Linked DNA regions of Notamacropus eugenii. The protein of the gene in region 2 interacts with the protein of the main gene of each other region in a pairwise test. Links are inferred from orthologs where the notes say so. Each region holds a gene or a part of one and is shown on either strand. Other genes may lie near its edges.

Region 1 (7,468 bases), on a different chromosome or scaffold from region 2:
TGGCGGGGACGCTACTACCCTCTACAGGCCACCACCATGCTAATTCAGCCCACAGAGGGTGCCAGCTCTTAGCCTTGTTCTGAGAGCCTTGCAGGGCTAAAGAAAAGAGCCAGAGTTCAATGGGTCAAAGACTCAACATAAATGCAAAAAGAGAACTTTCTCACCCTCTCTTTTCCCAGCACCCATGGTGACAATAGTCTCCCTGGACATATGCTTGGGCCAGGGTCAGGACTGAAAAAGGTACTTCACCGAGAGAGGAATAAGAGAGGATCCAGGCCCAGCCTTGGAATCTAGCCCTTCCATCTTGAAGAGACAGTGTTTACTCATTTCTTGCCCTTCTTTAATCTGTTGCCCTCTTAAGGGTAAACCTATGGTACCAACATACTAATAGGCAAGGGCTTTCCCTCTCCCCATCCACCCTGTTACACAGAAGAGTTTTATAAGCACAAGTGAATGGGAGGGGCTGGGTTGCCTAACCCTGGGGACTAGAGGGGAAGAAGCCCAGCTTCTGGGCTCATGACTGACTAGGAGTCTTGCCTAGCTGTCTTCAGTCATATTGACTGGACTAGGATCACAGGACCAAGAACTGGGGGATCTAGAATGGTGACCTACCTCAGAGCATCGCTATTTTGAAGCCCTGCCCTGGGGTCTTATGAGGGGTCAGGGTAATTTGTAAATAATTGCCTTGTAAAAAAATTCACTATCTTTTGGGTTTTAGAGTCTGGCTGGGATTACCAGGCCTCCTCAGATTTGTTTGTAATAAAAGGAATGAAAGAATCTCAAGATTGGAAGGGTCATCAATTCATCCAGTCCAAACAGGAATCACTAATGTGATCTCCAGAAGCATTCACTTGCAGATGTTTAGGGATGAAGAATTCACCACTTCATCCCTAAAAGGCCTGTTTTTGCACAGCTCTGCTAGTGAGGAGGTTCTTTACATCAAGGTGAAATTTGCCTCCTATGGAAGGCCATGCAGAACACTGTTTTCTACATCATGGTGTTTCAAGTTATGTCTTTCCTCTTTACACAACCCCACCCACCCAAATGTTCTCCAGTCAAAATATCCCCAGATCCTTCAACCAGTCCTCGTATAGCTTGACTTGGAGGCCATTTGTCTCACTGTATTCTTTGAATGCATTTAAGTTTTTAAGAAATCAATCAACCGGCCTTGATTAATATGTTCTTGGCACTGTGCTTTATGTGTGAATATTCACTATATTATGCAAGTCAACAACTGAAAGAGAAACAGGGAAGGAAAAGATAACCCATGTTAACCAGGATTAAGTGAGCTATAGTCCCCTCAGTCTCAGAAAACATCATAAGGGAAGGTCAGCCTGTTCTCCCTGCACCCATTCCTCCTTACTACCATCTTACATATTTGTCTGGAGACCCTGCTGTTAACCACTTCAGACTCACTGTTTTAAAGAATGTAGGTCTTGCTTCCTTTTTAACCTCCTTCATGGTGTACTAATCTACCTAAAGACTTGGGACCTAGGCTCTCACCCAAACAGACGGTATAGGCAGTGACTAGGCTTACCTGGGAGGCTACTGCTTATCTGATTCCTCTTTTTGTGGTTTTCGAGAGGTAGGAGACAATAAAATTTTAGGCAAGCTTTTTGAAAGATGCTTTGCAAATATCTCATTTTTGTTCTTGTGAGAACCCTGGAAGGTAGGGACTATTATCTCTAGTTTATAAAAGAAAACTGAGGCAGGCAGACTAAATGACTTGCCCAGAAACACACAACTCATCGGTGTCAGGCTATATTAGAACTCAGGTCTTCCATACTCCAGGTCTAGCTCTCTATGCACTGAACAACCTGTCTGCCCATGCCAGGTTTGAGTGGAGCCTGTCTGTATTAATGGCAAATGGTGACCAGGCAGTTCTCTGCAGTAGCAGCATGATTGTTTTAGGTTTCATTTTTTTTTTTTTTAATAATAACAGGGTCAGAGACTTAATGAAGTTGGACAGGACCTTTGCAGTCCAAACCCTCATTTTACAGATGAAGAAACTGAGGCCCAGAGAGGAAGAGGACAAGTGGCTTGCTGGAGGGTACACAGATAATATATGACTGAGGCAGGTCGTCTGACTTCAATTCTACTCCTTTCATCACTGCCACGCTTCCTCTGTCATCTAATTTGTATTATGGTTGTACCATGTGTGGACTTGATCTCTATCTCACTGAGACACCTCTCTGCCCCACCAGATTCTTAACCAGGTTATGCCTGCTACTGAGGGCAACCTAATATACTTGGCAGATATGTCTCTTGAGATCAAGGGGGCATGACTGGGCAAGACAGTGGCTAGGGGCTGGATGACCAGTGGGTCTGAGATGGGGTCAGATTGGGGTGGACAGGCAATTAGGTGAGGTGGCAGTGAGCAGTGGGGTGCTGGTGAATGTGAGAGGTGGTAGTCAGTGGGGGAGTGACCAGGCAAGGATAGATGATGGTCAGCTTCGGAGTGCTGGGTGATTTGTAGGTAGGGTGTCTGGGGTGATGAGTGGGCTTCTGGGATGGTGCGATGGGGTGGGGTGACCCTTGGGTCTCCGGGGTGACGTTCAGCAGCGGGGTGACCTTCGGCAGTGAAGTGATGCGGTGGTCTAGGAGGGGGTCATCGGGGGGCTAGTGAGACTCGGGGGTGGCGGGCAGTAGGAGGGTCTCCGAGGGGGTGCTGAGCAGTGGAGGGATGGGTGGTCAGCGGCACGGTAGCCACAGAGCCTCGGAGGTGGTGGTCTGCAACTGGGGCACCCGTCAGTTCAGTCCTTTTTGTTTCCCTGAATTAATGACGCCAAAGTACTCTAGAGGAAGGAGCTGTGCCGCGCGCGTGACGTCACGGCAACGTTACTCCCTTTTCAGTCCTCAGGCCTAATAGGTCATTTCCTTTTTCAGGCTCCGCCCCTTCCAATCCCAGCCCTTCCCCGTGGCCTACGCCCCTTTCCTCCCGTAAACTTTTCTCTCTCTGCCTTTCATTGGCTTAGCGGAACATCAATTTCCTTCTGTTTCTCGACTCTGCCTCCCGTCTCTTGTGTCCGTCTCCTATAGGTTAATATCACTGTCACTTCAGGAAGCCCCTCCCCTCCCCTTCCGTCGGTTTCAGGCCCGCGGTAGGTGGAAGCAGTGGGTTGGTCCCACACTGGTCGCTAGTTCTGATAGGGTAACCACGGTGTCAGTCGCGCCCCCGCCCCGCGGCCGATAGGCCGGTGGAACTGTCGTTCGGCGGCCGGTCGGGCTCCGCCCCCCAGTCGGGTGTTTGTGGTGGGGCTGCGGAGACGGGCCCGATCCCGCCGGAAGAGCCGAGACAATGGGGACCCGGGACGACGAGTACGACTACCTGTTCAAAGGTGCCCGGCGCTGAGGCGGGGAGGGCTGAGTGAGAGAGCGGACCCTTCGGGGAGTGCGGCCCCCTCCCTGCTGGCGGCCTCAGTCCCGGCGTCGCGCTCCGCCGGGCTGGAAAGGGACCTCCGCGGGCCCTAGCGGGGGCGTCGGAACCGGAGCCGAGGCCTGGACCGGGGGCGAGGACGAAGGGGAGCTGACACGGGGTGTCGGGCCCGGAGAGGGTGTCGGGCCCGGAGGGGGCGGCTGCACAGAGCCGTCGGTGTTACTGAACAAGGGGGTTGCGGGGCCCTGGCTAGAAGGTGGGGGAGGGGTAGGTTGCACTTAGTGGGGAGGGGGTTGGTGACTGCTGAAAGGGGGAGGGGGGCCGGGCGCGGTAGGTACTGACAGCTGGCTGGGAACCGTAGTGATGGTCCTGGAACTCGGGAGGGAGCCCGGGAAGAAAGGGGGCGGGGACCTAGGAGCAGAAAATAGTGTGGGTCGGGGTCGCCCGGGTTGGAGGGATCCTAGGACTCGAGGAGGAGGAAGAAGGAAAGAAGACCAGGGGGTAGAGAAAAGCTGCGCGAGATGTTCAGGAAGGCGACTCTGGGGAGCTGGCTGGGAAGACACCCCGGAGACTAGGCAGGGGCTCGAGCCGGGCACCTCTCGTTGACTTGACTCCAGCCTGGCTGCCGAGGCCAGTTAAGCCCCTGCGAGGTGAAAGACACTGTGCTAAGCGCTGGGGAGACCGAGGAGGAAAAACAAATGGGTTGGGGTCACTGGACAAGATTCTTAAGACCGCCGAAAGGAGAAAGGGAGTCGGGAGGAGATACTGGGGAGCAGGACCAGGAGGGAAGGCAATAGAGGATATCTTGGAAGGAAAATGGGGGGAGGGGGAGAAAAATTAGAGAATGGAGAGAGACAGGGAGCTTGCAGAGAGGAAGGGAGGGAGATGGGGAAAGTGTAGTAGAGATTTGAATGGAGTATGGAGAGAAAAGAGGAGTGAAGATTGAGGCCAGGCAGGTTGAATGCAGGAGGAACTCATTTAAGAGGAGTGATTGTGTCAGATATGGGAAAGGCAGAGAGAACTAAGGTTCACAGGATGGAAAGAGAGCATTAGGACTGAGGATAAAAGATATGTGGAGTGATTTATGTAGGGGGAGCTTGTAATGGGACTTAGCCGGTGTTGCTATACAGGACTTTACTCCTGGAGAGGGATGTCTGAGCAGCCTTGTACTCTAGATAAAAGACAAACTTCTCTGAGGCAAAAGAATCCAGGGCATTAGAGTGGGGGATCCCTAGATTAACTGGGATCCTTCCCTCACTACCTTTACTTCTCAGACATACTCAGAACTCCTTGACCTGGAGATGAGGTGCTGATTCTGACTGATCTGACTGATCAGGAATTGGGCAAGCTTTCTTTTCTGAAGCCAGAGGGCTAGGCATTAGACCTTCTAAAATTCTTACCATTGAGTAGCCAACAGGCTAGCCTGGAAGTGCCCAAGGGTTCCAGCAAAGAGGTACTAGGTAGACATGAAAAATGTCTATTTTTCTTATCCCTGGGTCTGGTACCTTGGACTGTTGGCTCTTCAAAATACTTGTTCCTTGGTTTTTCTTTCATCTGAGACTCTTTAAGTTAAATCAAGGATGTGATCTCTTTTTCTTCTTGTGCCTAGGACTGGCTGACCGCTATATTAGTGTATTCCAAGTCCTTGTTCACTGTGCTCTGTCTGAACTACAAATCCTCCTGGCCTCTGCTCCTCTGCTTTAGTTATATCTCCTCTGCTGTCCACCTCATCATCACTCTATTTTTCCAACACACTCTTATTACTAAAACTCCTAGAGACCCCAAATGGAAAGGGCTCATTTTTCACAGCTGACCTAAGAAGCACTGCTCAGGAAATCCTTCTGTCTCATAGTACTGAAATGTCAGTTACTTAAATATTTATTTTCTAAAGACATTTATTTATAAGAATCTCTTAATCTATACATGCCTGAGTTCAAATATAACATTTTAGAAAAGAAATTAATCTTGAGTCCCCCCAAATTTTCTCAGTTACAATGATTTAAAAATAAGTTTGTAAAAAGAATTTGATCACACACTTTTAGACTCCTGTATAATAGTAAATGAGATCCTCAATATGTGTTTCCATGCATTTAGTATACAGGATGTCCAAAAGTATTAGGCTTTGCTAGTTTAAAATTGCACTAAGACTTTTGAAACACCCTGTATGTGAGCTGCTACAAAACAAGCCCTGCTCTGCTCAGCACTGATTTCAGGTACCTGGTGTTTATTTGAGCCCGTGCCCAAAGATTGCTGTCTCCTGAGTTATAGGGTTTACACTTCCACTGCCTTCAGCCTTCCTTCTGTGTGTCCTTTGGCTTTCATGGATCCCAGTTATTCAAGTCTTCTGCCCTCTTCCACCCAAAAGGAGTATGTTCATTATGTCACGAACAGTTGTCAGAGATGAAAAGTAATGTAGTATACCTTTTAGTCAACAAAGTAGCCTAACAAGCATATTTTAAGCACTTACTATGTTCCTGGCTCTAAAGGATACAAAGAAAGGCTAAAGCAGCTCCTGCCGTTGAGGGTATTTTAATGTGGGAGACAACATGTGTATAACAGAGGCATGTTCAATATATCTGCATGGTAGATGGTAGGTAATGTGAGATGGGAAGACAGCTAAGGGAACCAGGAAAGGTCTGCAGAAGGTGGCAGGGTTTGAGCCGAATATTGGAGGAAGCCCTGGAAACTAAGAGGCCGAAGGGGGAGAACAGAGCATTACAGGCATGGCTGCTAGCCAGTAGAAAAGGACAGGGAGTCATATTTGATTAAGTGCAAATAGGCTAGTGTAGCTGGATTTTAGGATGCTTGGAGGAGAGTAAAGTATAAGAAGATAGCACTTATACCAGGTTGTGAACAAATATAAATGCCAAGCAGAGGACTTTATAACCTTTGTAGCTGAGTGGAGGATATATTAGAGTGGGGAGGAACTTGAGGTAAAGGGACCAGATAGAAGGCTGTTGGAATAGTCCAGGTGAGAGATGATAAAGACTTGAAATAGGGTTGTGACTGTGTAAGTAAAGAAGGGAGCAGATAGGGAAGACATTGTAAAGGTAGTAATGAGAAGCTTTGGCAGTGGAGCAGATGTGGGGGCAATCGAAGGATGACCATGAGGGTTTGAGCTGGGCTGCTAGGGAGTGGGGTGGAGAGTTGGGCCTGGGCTCTTCAGGGCACCAAGCAGGAGAAGCAAAATGGAGATAGCTCTGAAGTTCAAATCTCAATGAGAGGGGCAGTGATGGTTTGGATGTCATTAAACATCTTCCCTTTGTGCTTCAAAAATAGATCTATTTGCATTTTTCTTAAGTGTGCTGTGGAAAGCAGTGGAATAAAAGGTTAGGGTTAAACTCTTGGGTGTGAGAGTTGTCTGGCAAGTTATTTAACCTTTGAGCCTAAATTTCCCCAACTGTAAAATAGGCATAATAACATTTAGACTATTTGGCATGGTTATTACAAGGATCAAAGGAGATTATAAAAGCCTCTTAAATGATATACAAATTGACTTTTTTTTTAAACTAGATTAGAAAACAACAATATGACAGAAATCATCTTTTGATAGCATATCTGGAAATGAAAAACAAGTTGGTGTTGTTTTTTTTAAGTTCTTGACAGGCGAGAGCAGGTAAGGTGGGGATATTACCAGAAGAAGTCCAGACCATCTCTCTTGTTACCTTGTACATAGAGTCTCCTCTTGGTCAGGTGCTACTCGGTTATAGTTTTTCTGAATTATCTGACTTTGTTTTTCTTCTGTTGTGTAGTCTCACTACTCTTTAAATGAAGGGCAGCTAGGTGGTGCAGTGGATAGAGCACCAGTGCAGGAGTCTGGAGGACCTGAGTTCAAATTTCACTTCAGACACTTGACACTCACTAGCTGTGTGACCTTGGGCAAGTCACTTAACCCCAATGGCCTCATCCTGGGTCATCTCCAGTCATCCTGATGAATATCTGGCCACTAGATTCAGATGGCTCTGGAGAAGTGAGGCTGGTGACCTGCACAGCCCTCCCTCACTCAAAACAAAGTCAAGTGCAAGTCATGTCATTATTTCTCTGATGGCATGGTCTTCTTCAGCAACGAAGGACGAACACACACACACTCTC
Region 2 (7,468 bases):
TTAAATATATTAAAAAACTAGAAATATTACCAATAATGACACTTCATCAAACAACCTGGTCCCCATTCATCCCCACAAAGCAAAAAACGTTAAGGATACAGAACATAAGAAAATCATTTTGGATACAATAACATTATAAGCCTAGTAATACTTTAAAGCAACAATTTTATTTCAAACAATACTAATCAATTTTATTTAATAGTCAACATACGAACACAAACTTTTTGCATGTAGACTGCCACTTTTTTGGATAAATGATACCACATAAAAAAAGATCCTGAATCAAGGAAAACTAGGTGCTATTTCAAACTAAGAATTTTTAAGTTTGCAGTTGGGTCAATTCATATTTAGAAAATGTATTCTTAAAAAAAGGTCAGAAATGCATGACCTATTAAATATTTGAAGATACAGTATAAAATCTGAAAATGAATGCAGTATAAGAAATTCAGTCATGACACTTGTAGTAGAAGCATGTTAAAAACATTATAAAGAGTCACTAAAGCAACATCAGATTATAATAAACAATTTTAACATACACATACATGTGATTTTATAAAAACTTAATTCCAATATGAAAAAGGCTCAATGGATAATAAAAGACTCTTTTTAAAAGGAAATGCAAAATGTATTTCATTACGCTACTAAAAGCACAGACACAAACAGCTTTAACTTTTTATCTTTTTCCTCATTTCCTTAGAACATTCTGACCTTATTTGAAAGTATTTACTATCATTTTTTACCTTACATTCCTGGCATTTGATATTACTAACACAAACCTTAGGTCAGGGTTTGGAGTATAAGTCTTTTCTAGAAGTTTTGAGGTAAACTCTACTTCAGTGTATATCTTTATAGCTCAAGTATGTGAAATCATGTCATTAGGTAAATTCACACCAGTCAAATGACTTTTTAAAAAGGAAATCTGACTGTGGTTATGAGGGAATTACTCACTCTCAAAACATTTTTCCAAGTTTGCAGACCTGTAATTCAACCTGAACTTCTTTCCTGAAGGTAACACTGACTATTTACTTATACTTAGGTAAAAAGTTGCATTAGGAAGTAACTGCCTACTTCTGGAAGGACTTTGCTTCATTTTGTTATTTTGTGTTGGGGTTTTGACTGATCTTCTTATTGTTAATTTTAAAAACAGGTTTCATGACTCAATACCCATATTAAGAAGGCCCTGTTTCCAATGAAGATGTTATTAAGCTGCTTCATCATAAAAACTGAATCAGTACTTCTAATCTTGAAGCACTTAATATGGTCCAAGTACATTAGCTTTGTGGAAGTCATTTTCAAGTAATATGCTGGCATGGATAGAATGAAAATATAAAAGAAAAGTTGTTAAAACAGTCAAGGTCAGAAATGAGACAAGTTTGTAAAGTGGAAATTCTAGACTTCCAAATGCTTTAAAACATACCAAGTAAGTTGTCTTGAGAAGGAGCAACAGTTGAAAGAGAAATAATGAAGACCTATTGTGCATGTAATCCCAAAATGTGAATAAGAAGTTCCAAGCTTTCTAAATTTAACTGTAATTATTAAAAACACTGCAGTGATGTCCTTGATATATTTAATATTAATAATATTATATCTTATACATATGTTATAACATAATTAAATTAATAATTAATATAAACACTGCACTAATGTGCTTGATAAAAGTTAATGTTAACTATTAGAATATTTTATATATAACATAATAATTATATTTAATATTATAAACACTGCACTAACGTGCTTGATAAAGTTAATGTTAAATATTAGCATTATATTTTACACATAATAATATAACATAATAATTATAATATTTAACATTATAAACACTGCACTAACGTGCTTGATAAAGTTAATGTTAAATATTAGTATATTTTATACATAATATAACACAATAATTATAATATTTAACATTATAAACACGTGCTTGATATATTTTTCCAGAGGCCACTAACCTTTCTAACTACCCCATTTCTTTCACTGACCAATTTTCAACATTATCATTACATACTTACCTAGCTTTAAAAGCTTAAAAGTGACTGCTTCTCACAAGTCACCTTAACCACAGCCCAAACAACTTCCTGTATTGAAAGTCATTACCAAAACCAAAGACTCGTAATGAATGCTCATTTTAAAGTGTAACCGAAATGACAGAACGGAGCCTCCAAGGCCTTCATTCACGTGACTGGGGGGGGGGGTCACACTTCACCCCCTCCAACACAAAGTGCTTTGTTTACACCATGAGAAGTATCTTAAGACCAGGAAAGGCCCGGCACGACTTACTCTGTTTTCCTCCTCCGCTTGTCCTCAAAGACGTCATTGAGGCTGATGGCCACCTGCCCCAAGAACTTATCCAGCCCCACCAGAGACCGGTGCATGACCACCAGGTGCAAGACGCACTTCTCGGGGCCGCCCTGCACCAGCAGCCCGGGCAGCTCGAAGGAAGCCTCCTCCTTCCAGACGGGCTCCAGGGTCTTCTCCGCCACGGAGGTGGAGTACTTCTCCTTGCCCAGCTGGATGATGGTGTACGTGTCATTGGTGCCACTTTTGCCTTTGGGCTTCAGATCTTTGGCTTGAAGCACGGTGACCTGCACGTGGGTGGGAAACCACTTCTGGGCTTGCTCGGACAACATCATTTTGTCTTTTATTTTGGGGGGGTCCCCGGGACGGCACGGAGGGAGACGCGAGCAGAGGTACAAATAACCGGAGTTCCCCGAGCCTCAGTCTCCGAGGAGGAGGGCACTCGCTCTCACGAGGAGCTCCAAGTTGCCCGATTTCTATTTACTTCCTGTCCGAAAAAAATAGCCCGCGTGCCTCGGGGTCCGACGAAGCGGCTGCCCCCCAGGCCCCCGCCCGCCGCCGCCGCCGCCTCTGGGGCCTGGCCAGGGGCTGGCATCCCCGGGCCGGCCCGGGGTCCGCCGCTCGCCCCTCGGCTACCCCCCCCCCACGAAGCTGGGAGGGATCAGGTTTTGGGGGGTAGTCGGGGCTCCCTATCGGCCCGGCCTCGGGAGCAGGGGAGGCCCGCTCGGGGCACCTGGCGCCCGGAGGGGCGGGGCGGGGCGCGGCGGGGAAGGGGAGCTCGCCGTGGGGCTCCCGGGGCTAGGTCTCCCTCCTCGGGCCAGGGCCGCCCCCGCCCGCCGCACCTGCTCGGGCCCCCGCCCCCGCCTCGCTCCCAGCTGGCGCTCAGGCGGGCCCGGGCCCCCAGCCCCCGGCTAATACGAACCCCCGGAGGCTCGGGCTCGGGCGGCTCCCCTGTCCCTCTTTCTCTCTCTCCTCCTCCTCCTCCTGCCCTCCTCTCGCCTGCTGCTCCTCCTCCTCCTCCTCTCCTCAGGAGCAGGGGCTGCCGAGCCGCGGCCCTCGCTTCTCGGTCACTTAAGGGGCTGGGCCGGTACGGACGCCGGCGGGACGTGAGAACAGGCCGGGGCTAAGGGGTCTTTTCAGGGCCCGGTAGCGCCCTTGGGCGGGCGAGCGGCCGGCGGCTGGGGCGACACTTCCGGTCTGGGCTTCTCCATGTTGGAACGTGACGGGGGGAGGGCGCGGCGACGGGGAGGTCAGGGGTCAAGCGCCTCCCTGGTTGCCATGGTATCCGTAGGCCGCCCAGGCCCGAGGCATGACTTTGAGGTGGGGAAGGTGGAAAAAGCAAGCAGCCTCTCTTTGGAATCCTAGAGTGGAGGGGATCTAAAAGACCATTTGGCCTGAAGGGTTTTTTTGTACAGATGGGGAAACTGAGGCCCCCCGGAGGCCCAAAGTTCGCCGTGCCCGGAGGCAGCTCCGACACCACGTGCTGCCGTAGGGCCCCATAGCCCCGCCCTTCACTGATACTGAATAGGAAACTGACATCCGAAGATAAGCACCTGACCTAGGGCACAGAGCTGGCTACGGTGGAACCAGGGCTACAGTCAAGGCAACCAGCATTTATTAAGCACCAACGGTGTGTCAGACGCTTTACTAAGCACTGGAGATATCTCAAAGAAAGGAAAAAAAACAACAGCCCCTGCTCTCAAGGAGCTCAGACTACTGGGGGGAAACTGCATGTCAACAACTGTACCAGGCATACAAGTCAGCACACCCGTTTTTCCCCACCAGCCTCCTAAGCAATGCATGCTGTCTTCCTCCACATTTTTTTTCACTAGATTGATCTACGAGGAAAGATTCTCTCAACGTTGGAGGCTCAGAGGAGAGCAAAAGATTAGACAATTCAACTCAGAAAACGTTAGTGTCTCACTTTGTAGAATGCATTGTGGGATACAAAGACAAAAATAAATTTTTTTGTAACTATTCCTTCCTCCAAGAAACTTACATTCTACCCGCATGAAACAGCATGGGCTCAAGTAAGCACAAATATGTATGAAGTAAATCCAAAGATTTCCAAACTTCCCACATCAAACCAACTACCTATAGAGAGAGATTGCCAAGCCCATTTCCCCTCCTCTCAGGAAGACAAAATGCGCACCCTAACAACAAGTATTTGTTGATCTAAATTGGCAAAAAGGATGGGTGATAAGACTTGAAGTTCAAATAATCCTGGTTGCCTATCTACTTGAAGCTCATAGTCTAATATTGACCTTATCAGGATTTTACTCCCAACTTTCCTGTATAATCTTAACTGGATTAAATGGAGTCAGAAGATGTAGATTCAAATTCTGATTGTGTTACTAACCTCTGTGACTTTGGAGAAATTACTTCATCTCCATAGACCTGGACTTTCCTAGTCAGTAAGAGAAAGGTATGACCAGATAACATCTAAATCTTACATACTAAACTACTCTCTAGTGATGGGATTTCAAGGTGGGCATTGTGGAAGACCCAGAGAGAGACAAATAAGACCTGGCCGGGATGATTTTAGGCATACATGAGTGACTGCCTGCTTTTCTTTTGTTTAGGATTAGGCCTCAGTAGAGGGAGTGTAGGAGTCTGGGTTTGGAAGTAGCTTGACCTAGCAGAAACAGCCTACTTTGTCACTCCCTTCAAGGAGCTTCCATTCTAATGGGGAGAGGGAGACCAAGTTGCTTGGAGGTGGGGAGCTGGGGAGTATGGTAATGATAATCCTGAGTACAACAAAAGTGTCTTTTTCTTCCCTACTAGACTGAAAGCTCCATAATTACAAGATGTGTGTCATATATCTTTGTGTCTCAGAGCATCTCGTTTGGATGTCATAAGCAATAAATATTTGTGAGTCCTTAGCTAACTCACACTTTGAAAACTTCATAGCTTAAGGTTTTATTCCTATGTTCAGGGAATATTCAAAGGCTCTCCATCTGACAACTTTTTTATGTCCTCAGATAAAATAATTTTAAATGACCCTTCCCTTTCCTTCCTTTCCAATAGCACCATGTTCACAGGCCCCTTCTATAGAACTGAATTGAACTGTAAGAAGCAAAGGGAAGTTGGGGGCATGTTAATTACATGAAATGTTTTATGTTTGCAAGTATGTGAAGTATATTTAGTGGAAAATACTTGAAGAGAGAGAAAATTATCCCTTTTATCACGGAAAAGAAGAGATGCTGTACTTACTTTGAGGAATAGCACGACAGAGATAAAAGACTATATACCAGGGACCTTGCCCATATCTTCCAGTCTTTCAAAGCTGTTGGGAGGTGAAGAATTTTGAGAACAGATTTCCCTCAAAGGTGTAGGGCATATCTACTATTTCTTTAGCACCCCTTACACACGGTACTTTTCTTGGTATTTTATATATAGTGGGAACTATGTCTTATTAAAGACTAGAAGGCAAATCAGTTTGTTGAGGTTATCAAACACCAGAGACCCACAACATAATCCCAGACTAAAGATAACTCAGAACAAAAGAACTGCGTTTTAAGTCATCCCCAAAGGTTTTACCTTAATGAATTAAAAAAAGAGGGAGAATATAATGCATTCAAGTAAGACAACATATTGTTGTTTCAAAGGTGGAACTTGGGGGTTACACGTGGAAAGTCAAATCAATACAAAGATCAATAATGTGAATTATAAGCACAAATCTGTTATCTGTGTCCTAGAGTGGGCAATTGTCAGTTATAAAGAAGTTGATTCCTAGAAATTTTTAAAAAGACCAGTGCAATGGTAGAATTTGTTTAAAAAAAAAAACCAGTTTGATAGCTAAAATCTGAAAACATCTTGTGAAGTTTTATTTTAATGAAAATTGCATAAACCTAAGTTGCATTCGTAAAAAATAATCTTTCAAGTAACTGTTAAGTGTTTTTTAATCGTAATAATGCATCAATAAAGAACAGTAATAATATCAAATGTTTCTGAAACAAACTGCTAGATAAACTTTATAAAATTATTATAAATATGTTTACAAATATATCACTTCACCCATCTTTGAAATAATGTATAGTCATATCTAGGGTCTAAGTTAGAAGCTGTTAAATGTAATAAATAACAAACTGAACACAATTTTATGCTGATGACAAAGGTGAGAGAACAGCCAGTCCTTTGAGTGAATTTCTGAGTGCTTTTCCCATATCACCTAAATTCCCTTTAAGGCTTTCCAAGTATTGACCAGAAGAAAAGCTACTTGAAATTGTCATTTTGTCAGATTCAGACCTTGACTCTAGACCCTGCAGGCCAATTAACAGCTTTTATTAAACACCTGCTGTGTCAGGAAATGTGCTCAGTGTCAGATAAACAAGACAAGATTGCATGTTCCTTGGTCTCAAGGAACTTACACTCCAATAAAGCTAATTAGACATATATACAGATAAATATGTTACAATTAACTACGAAAGAAGAATAAAAAGTACTAGGAAAGTTGTTCCTCCTTCATTCTGGAAGAGGACATCAGGAAGGTAGTGCTTTCACTTGCTTGCGAATTGAATTTAAGTGAGGCAGAGTTGCACAAAGTCACCAGCCTTGTTCTCTCCTCCAGAGTCATCAAAGTCCAGTGGCAAGACAGAAGTCAAGACAACTTTTGCTGGCCTTCAATAAGTACTTTTCCTTGGCTATCAAAGTTAGATGAGGAAGGAATCACTTCTTGATGGAAAGTTCAGGAAAGAGCTTCATGAAGGTAGTAGTATCTAAGCTTCTGCCTTGAAGAATGGCTTGAACATTGGCAGACTGAGATAGGAGAAAGGATCTCCCCAACAGGGAATAACACAGAGGGAATGTAAAGGGAGGAGACCATAGGAAAATCCAATTTGAGTGGAACGAAGAGTATGAAAAAAATTCTTCCTGATGATTAAGCTATGTAGGAAGGACTGGCTTCAGTACCCAGGTATAGGCAAAATCTGGTTTAGGCCCAAGAAGGATTGCTTGAAAAAAATGTAGCCTTTGTCATTACCTTGAGACTTTGGCCCCTTGAAAGAAATTGGATAAAGGGTGGATACTAGGTTGAGAAAATTGCCAGGGTCTTTCTGTCTAAGGAAAAGGAGAACTATCTTGCCATGAAGTTACAATGAACCCTGTTTAATAAGGGAAAGAAAGGTAGAGACATTACTCCAATGGCTAAAATTCATCCTCAGCTGCATTGAATATT

Evidence for each region.
Region 1: the proteins of RAB11FIP2 (region 2) and RAB11B interact in binary tests that used the Homo sapiens proteins (3 or more experiments, as listed by UniProt). The link is inferred for Notamacropus eugenii from reciprocal best matches to the Homo sapiens genes RAB11FIP2 and RAB11B.

The regions. Positions count from the first base shown.
Region 1 is NC_092875.1:52,175,175-52,182,642, reverse strand, and holds the start of RAB11B (ras-related protein Rab-11B), read left to right. Parts: upstream 1-3,132; 5' UTR 3,133-3,298; coding exon 3,299-3,338; intron 3,339-7,468. Other genes in the region: ANGPTL4 (angiopoietin-related protein 4), read left to right, coding at 1-72. UniProt on the Homo sapiens protein: The small GTPases Rab are key regulators of intracellular membrane trafficking, from the formation of transport vesicles to their fusion with membranes.
Region 2 is NC_092872.1:197,809,289-197,816,756, forward strand, and holds the start of RAB11FIP2 (rab11 family-interacting protein 2), read right to left. Parts: upstream 4,928-7,468; 5' UTR 2,628-4,927; coding exon 2,275-2,627; intron 1-2,274. UniProt on the Homo sapiens protein: A Rab11 effector binding preferentially phosphatidylinositol 3,4,5-trisphosphate (PtdInsP3) and phosphatidic acid (PA) and acting in the regulation of the transport of vesicles from the endosomal recycling compartment (ERC) to the plasma membrane.